Linked DNA regions of Callithrix jacchus. The protein of the gene in region 1 purifies or fractionates together with the protein of each later gene. This does not show direct contact. Links are inferred from orthologs where the notes say so. Each region holds a gene or a part of one and is shown on either strand. Other genes may lie near its edges. The genes, in order: AP2A1 and RALBP1.

Region 1 (4,268 bases):
CTTCTCACCAATCCCTTCTCACCCCATTAAGCCAGCACTCTCTCTCGCCCAGAGGCCTGCAACGCCCTCCTAATTTCGTTCCCTGCTTCCACTGCTACCTCTAGAATCTGTTCTCACAGCAGCCAGAGGACTTATTTTAAAACATCAATCGGTCACGTCCCTCCTCTGCTCAAAATATTCTCAGGCAGATAAAGGCCAAAGTGCTCACCATGGCCCAGAAAGCCTTTCCCGATCCTGTCCCTCCTCCCCCCTGCTCCTGCCCTCTCCCCCCACACTCCCTCAGCTCCAGCCACACTGACCTTCTCCCTCTCACTCCAACACGTCAGGCATGCGGCAACCTCAGGACCTTTGAATGCACCTCCCTGTGCCAGGACCCCTTTCCTCCAAAATCCACAGGGCTTGCTCCACTTACAGGGCTTCCTCCAGATTTACGGAGCACCCTCCCAATCCTAGTCCTCTCCTGCCCATTTCCTCCCTGTTTTCCTTCACAGCACCACTCAGGGCCTCAGGTTGTATCTTAGAGTGTTCTCTGTGCTTATGTTCTGTCTTCCTCAGGGAAGGGAGCTCCCAAGACCAGGAGTTTTGTTTTGAGACGGAGTTTCGCTTTTGTTGCTCAGCCTGCAGTTCAGTGGCGCGATCTCAGCTCACTGCAAGCTCCGCCTTCCAGGTTCAAGCAATTCTCCTGCCTCAGACTCCCGAATAGCTGGGATTATAAGCGCCCGCCACCAAACTTGGCTAATTTTTGTATTTTTAGTAGAGACGGAGTTTCGCCAGGTTGGCCAGGCCGGTCTTGAACTCCTGACCACAGGTGATCCACCGGCGTTGGCCTCCTAAGCTGCTGGGATTACAGGCCTGAGCCACCACGCCTGGCAAGAACAGGAGTTTCTGTTCACTATTGTCACCCCAGCGCCTAGAACACTGGAGCGATCAAAAAGTATTTGTCAAATGACTGAATGAAGGAATGAGCCTTCAGAGGCAAGATGCTCTAGGAATGAAGTTTGTAGACAAGAAAACATCCTCAAAGAGGTTAAATGACGCATGGAGGGTCACATGACCTCCCGTCACTGGTGGGTAACAGAAGCAGCGCACATCTCCTAACAAGGGCCCCCAGCTACTCCACAACCCCCATCACTCCGCCCCTTGTCGTAACAGCCCACCATCTCTCCATCAACGGATACCCAATCGTGTCCACCCCCTCCTGTTCACTGAGCACCTTCTACATGCCAGATCTTTCCATAACAGTTACATTCTAAAACAACAACAGCAGCCATTGGGTACTTGGCAGAGCTGCTGCTGGGAGCCAATGGAGTAACAAAACAGCCAGGTTCCATCTGGGGCCTGGAATGCATGAAAGGCCTGACTCACAGGCACTGCCACAAGCCCCTCAGGATGATACAATCAGCAGCCTCTCTTGACAGATGAGAAAACCGAGAGGTGAAGTTCCTCACTCAAGGTCACTCGGCTAGGGACTGGTGGTGCTCCCACGCAAACCCAACCGGGGCTGACCCCAGAGCCCATTCCGACACAGCCTCTGAATACTCCTGGCAGCTCCAGTCACCAACAGCCATTCCCAGGAGTTGAGAGCTGACTTGTCACCAGACTTCCCATCATCACGACAACTCTTCCTGGCAGGGACCACTGTCCCCATATTACTGTGGTCAGATAGAAAAGGGCTCAGATCCTAGCCTATTCTGCTTCCTGACCCCTGACCTCTCTCTGGGATTAGACCTACCCTATTCCCAGCTTTCCAGATCTCTGCCCTCAAGTCCTTCAGGGCCCCATGCCGTCCTGGAGGTCTAGGCGCTCCGCTCCCTCTTCTGCCCTTCCCCCAAACCCCCACTCTATAACGTCTCCTTTCCAGGGCAGCTTCCCTGTCACAGGTTTTCCCAACACCTTACACCTGCAGCTCCTTTCCTCTGCCCTCCTTGGGTCCCTCCTTCTCCCTCAGCGGCCCCTCTGGCCCCCTCCACACTGCCTTCCATGTCTAAGCAATCTCCCATCCTGAAGCCCCACTATCCCTCACCAGGGTGTCCTTATAGTCTGGCCCTCCCATCATCTCCCTGCCCTGAACCCGAGGACTTTCAACCACTCTCAGGCCTCCTCTATACCACTGGCCGGGAGCCTCAGTGACCTATCTAACCACCCCCCCATATGACACCCCCATCCCAGGCCCTCAAGCCTTCTCAATTAGGCTTCGGGCGTTCCACTTCCTACAGGTCCCCTCTGGCTTCCTCCCATTCCATCGCTCCACAGGGTACCTCCCGCCCTCCCCCCACCCCGCGCCATGCACTTCTTTCCCTTCCTCTCTACGTTAGGGCTCCTTCTAACCCCATCGTTTGTACGATCCCCCAGCCTTTCAGTCTTTCCCAAGGGACACCTCTATGCTCTCATCCCCGGGACCTCATTGGCCTCCTCCCCTTTCCAGCACCCCCGGACCCCTCTAGTTACTCCGTGTCGTCACCTCAAGAGGCACTCTATGACACCCCAAGCCCCTGCGTGACCCCCACCTTAAAGTTCCTCCCGGGGCCCATCTATACTCGCCCTCTACAGCCGCAAAGGCTTTTGATCCCCCGGGTCCCTCTGTGACCCCCAAACCCCTTAATTTAAGGCTCCCCCCTCCCCCGCGTCTCCAGTGTCCCCCGGCCGCGCGCTCACAGTTCCGGATGTCGGAGATGAACACAGCGAGTCCCCGCATCCCATCGCCCTTGGACACGGCCGGCATGATGGCAGTGGTGTCGGCTCCAGGCCTGGCCGGACAGGGCACAGCGCAGCGGGGGCTGGCAGGCGGGGACCAGGCGGAATGGACCCCAGGCAGCGCCGAAGAGCCAAGCCGGCCGCGGGGAGGGCTGACTGGCGGGCGGGCGGGCGGGCTGGCAGGCCGTGGCACCGCCCACCTGCCCCTCCCCTCTACCCGCCTTCCGGAGCTTTCAGCCGCCTATTGGTAAGAGCTTCTGCCGCTCAGACGCGGGTTTAATTCCCTACTTTTTCTCTCATTGGCCGCTAAGCAAAGGCACGACGCTGCGATTGGCCCAGTGCTCCGCTATTTCCGTTCGGGAGCGGGGAGGGAAGAGGAGGCGTTGCCCGAGAGACGGGCGGGGTTCGATTGCGTAAAATGGACCCGCCCCTTCCGCGCGGCCAAGTCAAACACTGATTGGATCTAGCCGGTCTCCAAGGAGGGAGGGAGGGACGTGACGGAAGGCGGGGAAAGGGCCCTGGGAGGCGGGACTGAGGTTGACCGAGACCAATGAGCGGGTAAACCTCCCCCGCAGGAGTCACGGATTGGTGAGATCTGTCCTACTTCCACCCTCTATTGGGCGGCTTTGGGGGGCGGGCGGAAGGCGAAGAGCAGTAGAAGGAAAGAAGAGGGTGTCACTCCGCTCGGCTGGGATAGGTGGAGCGACGCCTGCAATTCCATGCAGCAGAGAAGGAGTTGGGCGGGGCAAGAGAGCGTTCAGTGTTTACTGCGCAAGCGTCTCCGTGTTCCCTTTCTGCCTTCACTGTCACCCCCGACTGCTAAAATCCTCTTCGAGGAAGCCTTCCTCCCCTCCCCCCTTCTCTGCAGCCAACGTGTCGGGACTTGTTTTGTCAGGAGACCCAGAATCTCAGAGTGAAAAACAGTAATTCACGGCTAGTCCCATTAAGCAGAGATTAAATCATAGGTCGAGAGGGTGAATGACTTGCCCAGGGCCACACAACTTGGAAGTGAAAGAACAGAAATAAATGTAGACCATATCTTGGCTTTCAACTATTTTTCAACATATGTTGCCTTTTTTTTTGGGTCCAACCACAATGTCTCTCGGGCAGCCTCCATTGTAGCAGATATCAAACCAAAATTGATTCTCTCTTCCAGACTAGGAACTCCTGGGCAAGAATGGGACCTGGTCTTGAAGAGTTTCAACAACATTTGTTAAAGGAAGGCATGGGTGAATCTGCTTTGGCCCAACCCCAGCCTCAATCCCCTACCCTCAGCTCCCCAGAGTCTTTGGTAAACTGGCTTTGGGGAAGGCAAAACGGCCAGAACTCCCAACGCCCAGGGCAATTGAGAAATTTGGGACAAAGGGAACTGGAAGAGTCCATTTCTGTCACCTGTGGGGAAAGAACTCCCCCCCCCCACCTCGCCCCCGCCACCAGCCTTTTCTAATCTCAGAAGTCAAGCATTCCTGGAATGAGTCTTGGGGGTGTGTCCTGGATCTTTGGAATGGCCTCTCTGAATCCTGGGAGCCGGAAAGGAGGTTAAGAAGAGCCCACTTTCCAGGCTCAATGGATGC
Region 2 (3,810 bases), on another chromosome or scaffold:
AAGAAGGAGAAGGATTTTAAAATAAAAGAGAAACCCAAAGAAGAAAAGCATAAAGAAGAAAAGCACAAAGAAGAAAAACATAAAGAGAAGAAGTCTAAAGACTTAACAGCAGCTGATGTTGTTAAACAGTGGAAGGAAAAGAAGAAAAAGAAAAAGCCAATTCAGGAGCCAGAGGTGCCTCAGATTGATGTTCCAAATCTCAAACCCATTTTTGGAATTCCTTTGGCTGATGCAGTAGAGAGGACCATGATGTATGATGGCATTCGGCTGCCAGCTGTTTTCCGTGAATGTATAGATTACGTAGAGAAGTATGGCATGAAGTGCGAAGGCATCTACAGAGTATCAGGTACTGGGAATGTGCACTTCACTTGGTGATTTTTAATAATTAACTTCACTTTCATTTTTCAAAGGAAGAAAAAAATGTTGTGAGGAAAATTTGGCCTGGATCCTAAGCCTTATTCATTTCCTTGATCCTTCCAATTGCACGAAAATCCACCCTTCTCCCCAGCCTTTCTTTAGTGTTTGAGCAGTTTGGTTTTTTATGATATTCCATTTCGTTAGGAGGATTTCATGTGAGTTGTTCAGAGGTTGCAGCAATCAGGACTAAAACAAAGTGAGGTGTACTGTTAGCATTGCTTAACAGGACTGCATTCAGACCCTACTTTTTTTTTCTTTTGTTTGTTTTTTGAGACAGAGTCTCGCTCTGTTGCCCAGCTGGAGTGCAGTGGCGCAATCTTTGCTCACTGCAGCCTCCGCCTCCCAAGTTCAAGCAATTCTCCTGCCCCCCAAGTTCAAGCAATTCTCCTGCCTCAGCCTCCTGAGTACTGGGATTACAGATGCCTGCCACCATGCCCAGCTGAGTTTTGAATTTTTAGTAGAGATGGGGTTTCACCATGTTGGCCAGGCTGGTCTCAAACTCCTGATCTCAGGTGATCTGCCTTCCTTGGCCTCATAAAGTGCTGGAATTACTCATAATCAGCCACTATGCCTGGATGCCTGCTTTTGTTTTTTTCTTTCCTCTCTAAGCAGAGGCTCAGTGGTATGAGGGTCTTTAGCAAGAGAAGGAAGGTTAACTGTGTGAAGGAAGCTTCTTGGCCAAGAAACCCATTTATGGATATTTCTTTAGCTAAGAGGCATGAAATGGTCTTTGTTTTTGTTTTTGTTTTCTTGGTGCATGGTTCTTGGAGATATCATAATACCTGGTCAATATGTGGAGTGGTCCAAGCAAGCTTCTGTTCCATCTCCCTGCTCCAGAAATCCTAGAACAGATACTATACTTGACTTTAGCCAAAAGACCAAGAAGTAGTAAATGTTTAGCCCCATATGTGAATGCTTTGGTCAGCTACATGCAGCTGTTACATACATTAGCAAAATTGATTTTCTATTAATCTTTATCCCATATGTATACAAATTAAATTTTTTTATACTCGGCAAGAATATGTTTTGATTGGGTATCTAAATCAAGCAATATGTATATTATTTAAAAGTAAAAAGACTTATTTCTTAGAAAGCAGTATGATGTTTATACTGGGATAGGATGAAAGCCCTGACCTGTAGCAGCATCTGTGTTCCAAATTATTAAATTCCCATTATTCAGTTTCTTGGTACATTATCAATTTCTGTTTAGAGATTTATTTTATAAAATTAATTGTTGGCCCAAGCAGGAGAGTCACTTGAGCCCAGGAGTTAGTTTGAGGCTGCAGTGAGCCATGATCGTACTACTGCATTCCAGCCAAGGCAAGAGTCAGACCTTGTCTCAAAAATAATAATACTTGTTGGTCACGTGTATTTTCATGAGGTGTTGTTAAGTCATATATAGAATATATGGAGAGATTAGACTTAGTTTTTTCATTTAATTGGCTCATACACAGTTTGAGAAGGTAGATTTGATACTTTTGTTGAGAAAGAGCAGATAGGTTTGATAATTGGGAAAACTGTTACATAATCCACTAGATTACATGCCATTATTAAGAGTATTTTGGCTAAAATGTTACTGTTTTATAGAACATGAAATAAATTAGGCATTGAATTTAAGTTTATAACTCCTTAGTATTCAATAAATATATTTAAACAAATATTTGATTTTTTTTTTTTTGAGACAGAGTCTTGCTCTGCCGCCAGGCGCCAGGCTGGAGTGCAGTGGTGCAATCTCGGCTCACTGCAACCTCCGCTTCCCGGGTTCAGGCAATTCTCCTGCCTCAGCCTCCTGAGTAGCTGGGACCACAGGTGCGTGCCACCACACCCAGCTAATTTTTGTATTTTTTTTTTAGTAGAGACAGGGTTTCACCATGGTCTCGATCTCTTGACCTCGTGATCTGCCTGCCTCAGCCTCCCAAAGTGCTGGGATTACAAGCATGAGCCACTGCGCCTGGCCCAAATATTTAATTTTTAAGAATAATTTACTGAATTGATTTTTTAACATTTAAACATTAATAACACAAGCTGCCTCTCTCACATGGTCTTAGTAGCCATAAAGTAATTTTGTTTTAGGTAAAAGTTTCTCTGAAAATTTTCTGCAGCTTTGTTCAAAGGATTCTTTTTGTCTCTGGCCTACTTTAAAGTCTGCATTTTTTTAGGAAATTCATAGTCATAGAACTCCTCTTCTCTGTATGTAAAAGCATTCAGACTGAGCTGCTGTCCATCATTGCAATAGCTAGGGGCTGAGCTCCTGCTCCGATGAGTTTTCCATTTATTCTCTAACCTGTGGCAGTTTGCTGTAGTCAGCCTGGCTTGTACTACTCTTCCGGCCAGTGCTAATAATAATACTGCTTTTTGCTGGAGATGTTAGTTCTCACTTAATTCATTTTAAGACCTTTTGCTGGACGTTTTAGTTCTTGATTATCCAATTTTAAACTAATATGAAAGACAATTCAAGTGATTTTACCAATTTTAAGCTAATATGAAAGACAATTCAAGTGATTTTATACATTTCAATTTATTCATCTACATTTTCTTGTATCTTTTGCACTGAAGTGTACCTGTATGCACTTTCTCTCTTTCTGTGGAATGCTTTATTTGGAGTGTCCAATTTTTAAAAGGAAAACATTTTGATAACAGTTTCAGAGTAAGGCAAACCAAACACACATTCCGATTGACTACTTGTACAATTTGTTGGGTAGGTACTATAAGGGGAAGAATTAAATATACATGAGGAAGAGAATAAATCTTTGCCAAGGATTTCGGTTAAAGTTATCACGGTTTACTCATATTATCATAAAAGTAAGAAAATGGGAATTATTTTTGACTTTGCTGTCACAAAATAAAGATTATCTAAAAATAAATTAATAGTGTTATTTTGTATTTTGTTATTTTATTTTGTCAATACTAAATTAGATTTATCATAATGCCACTAAAAGGTTTTCACGAAGGATAAGGAATCCCAAAGTCCAGATGTAAGCACCGTATTCACTGTCAAGTGCTGTTCAGCTTAGATAGCATTTACCGGTAGAAACCGTCAGCCTTAATATGTAGCTTGTTTCAAATAATTGGATGAAAGTGTTAAGTATTAAAAACAACAAAAAACGACTTTGTGTTCTTCTGAGCAATCACTATCACTAAATTACGGCACTTAATGCAGATTGTACTGAAGACTTCAAATCTTATACAATGTTTGAAAATTATTTGCTTGTGTGTTAGAGTTTCCTTTTGTTCAATAAGCAAAACAATTTGATTTTAGAACCCCAAACGTTATTTTTTTGTCCCAGCTCTGTTCAGATTAAAGGTATACTTAAAAAATCCAAACTTTGAAATAGAAATTAGATGTGGATTGTTTAATGGAGAATAATCTTCAAAGAGTTTGTTTGGGTAGCT

What was found.
Region 2: the proteins of AP2A1 (region 1) and RALBP1 purify together in Homo sapiens (affinity purification with mass spectrometry; 5 studies listed by BioGRID and IntAct, with this or other methods). This does not show direct contact. The link is inferred for Callithrix jacchus from reciprocal best matches to the Homo sapiens genes AP2A1 and RALBP1.

What each region holds. Positions count from the first base shown.
Region 1 is NC_133523.1:43,536,644-43,540,911, reverse strand, and holds the start of AP2A1 (AP-2 complex subunit alpha-1), read right to left. Parts: upstream 2,853-4,268; 5' UTR 2,723-2,852; coding exon 2,656-2,722; intron 1-2,655.
Region 2 is NC_133514.1:53,427,554-53,431,363, reverse strand, and holds part of RALBP1 (ralA-binding protein 1), read left to right. Parts: coding exon 1-346; intron 347-1,165; exon of another isoform or gene 1,166-1,307; intron 1,308-3,810. UniProt on the Homo sapiens protein: Multifunctional protein that functions as a downstream effector of RALA and RALB. As a GTPase-activating protein/GAP can inactivate CDC42 and RAC1 by stimulating their GTPase activity.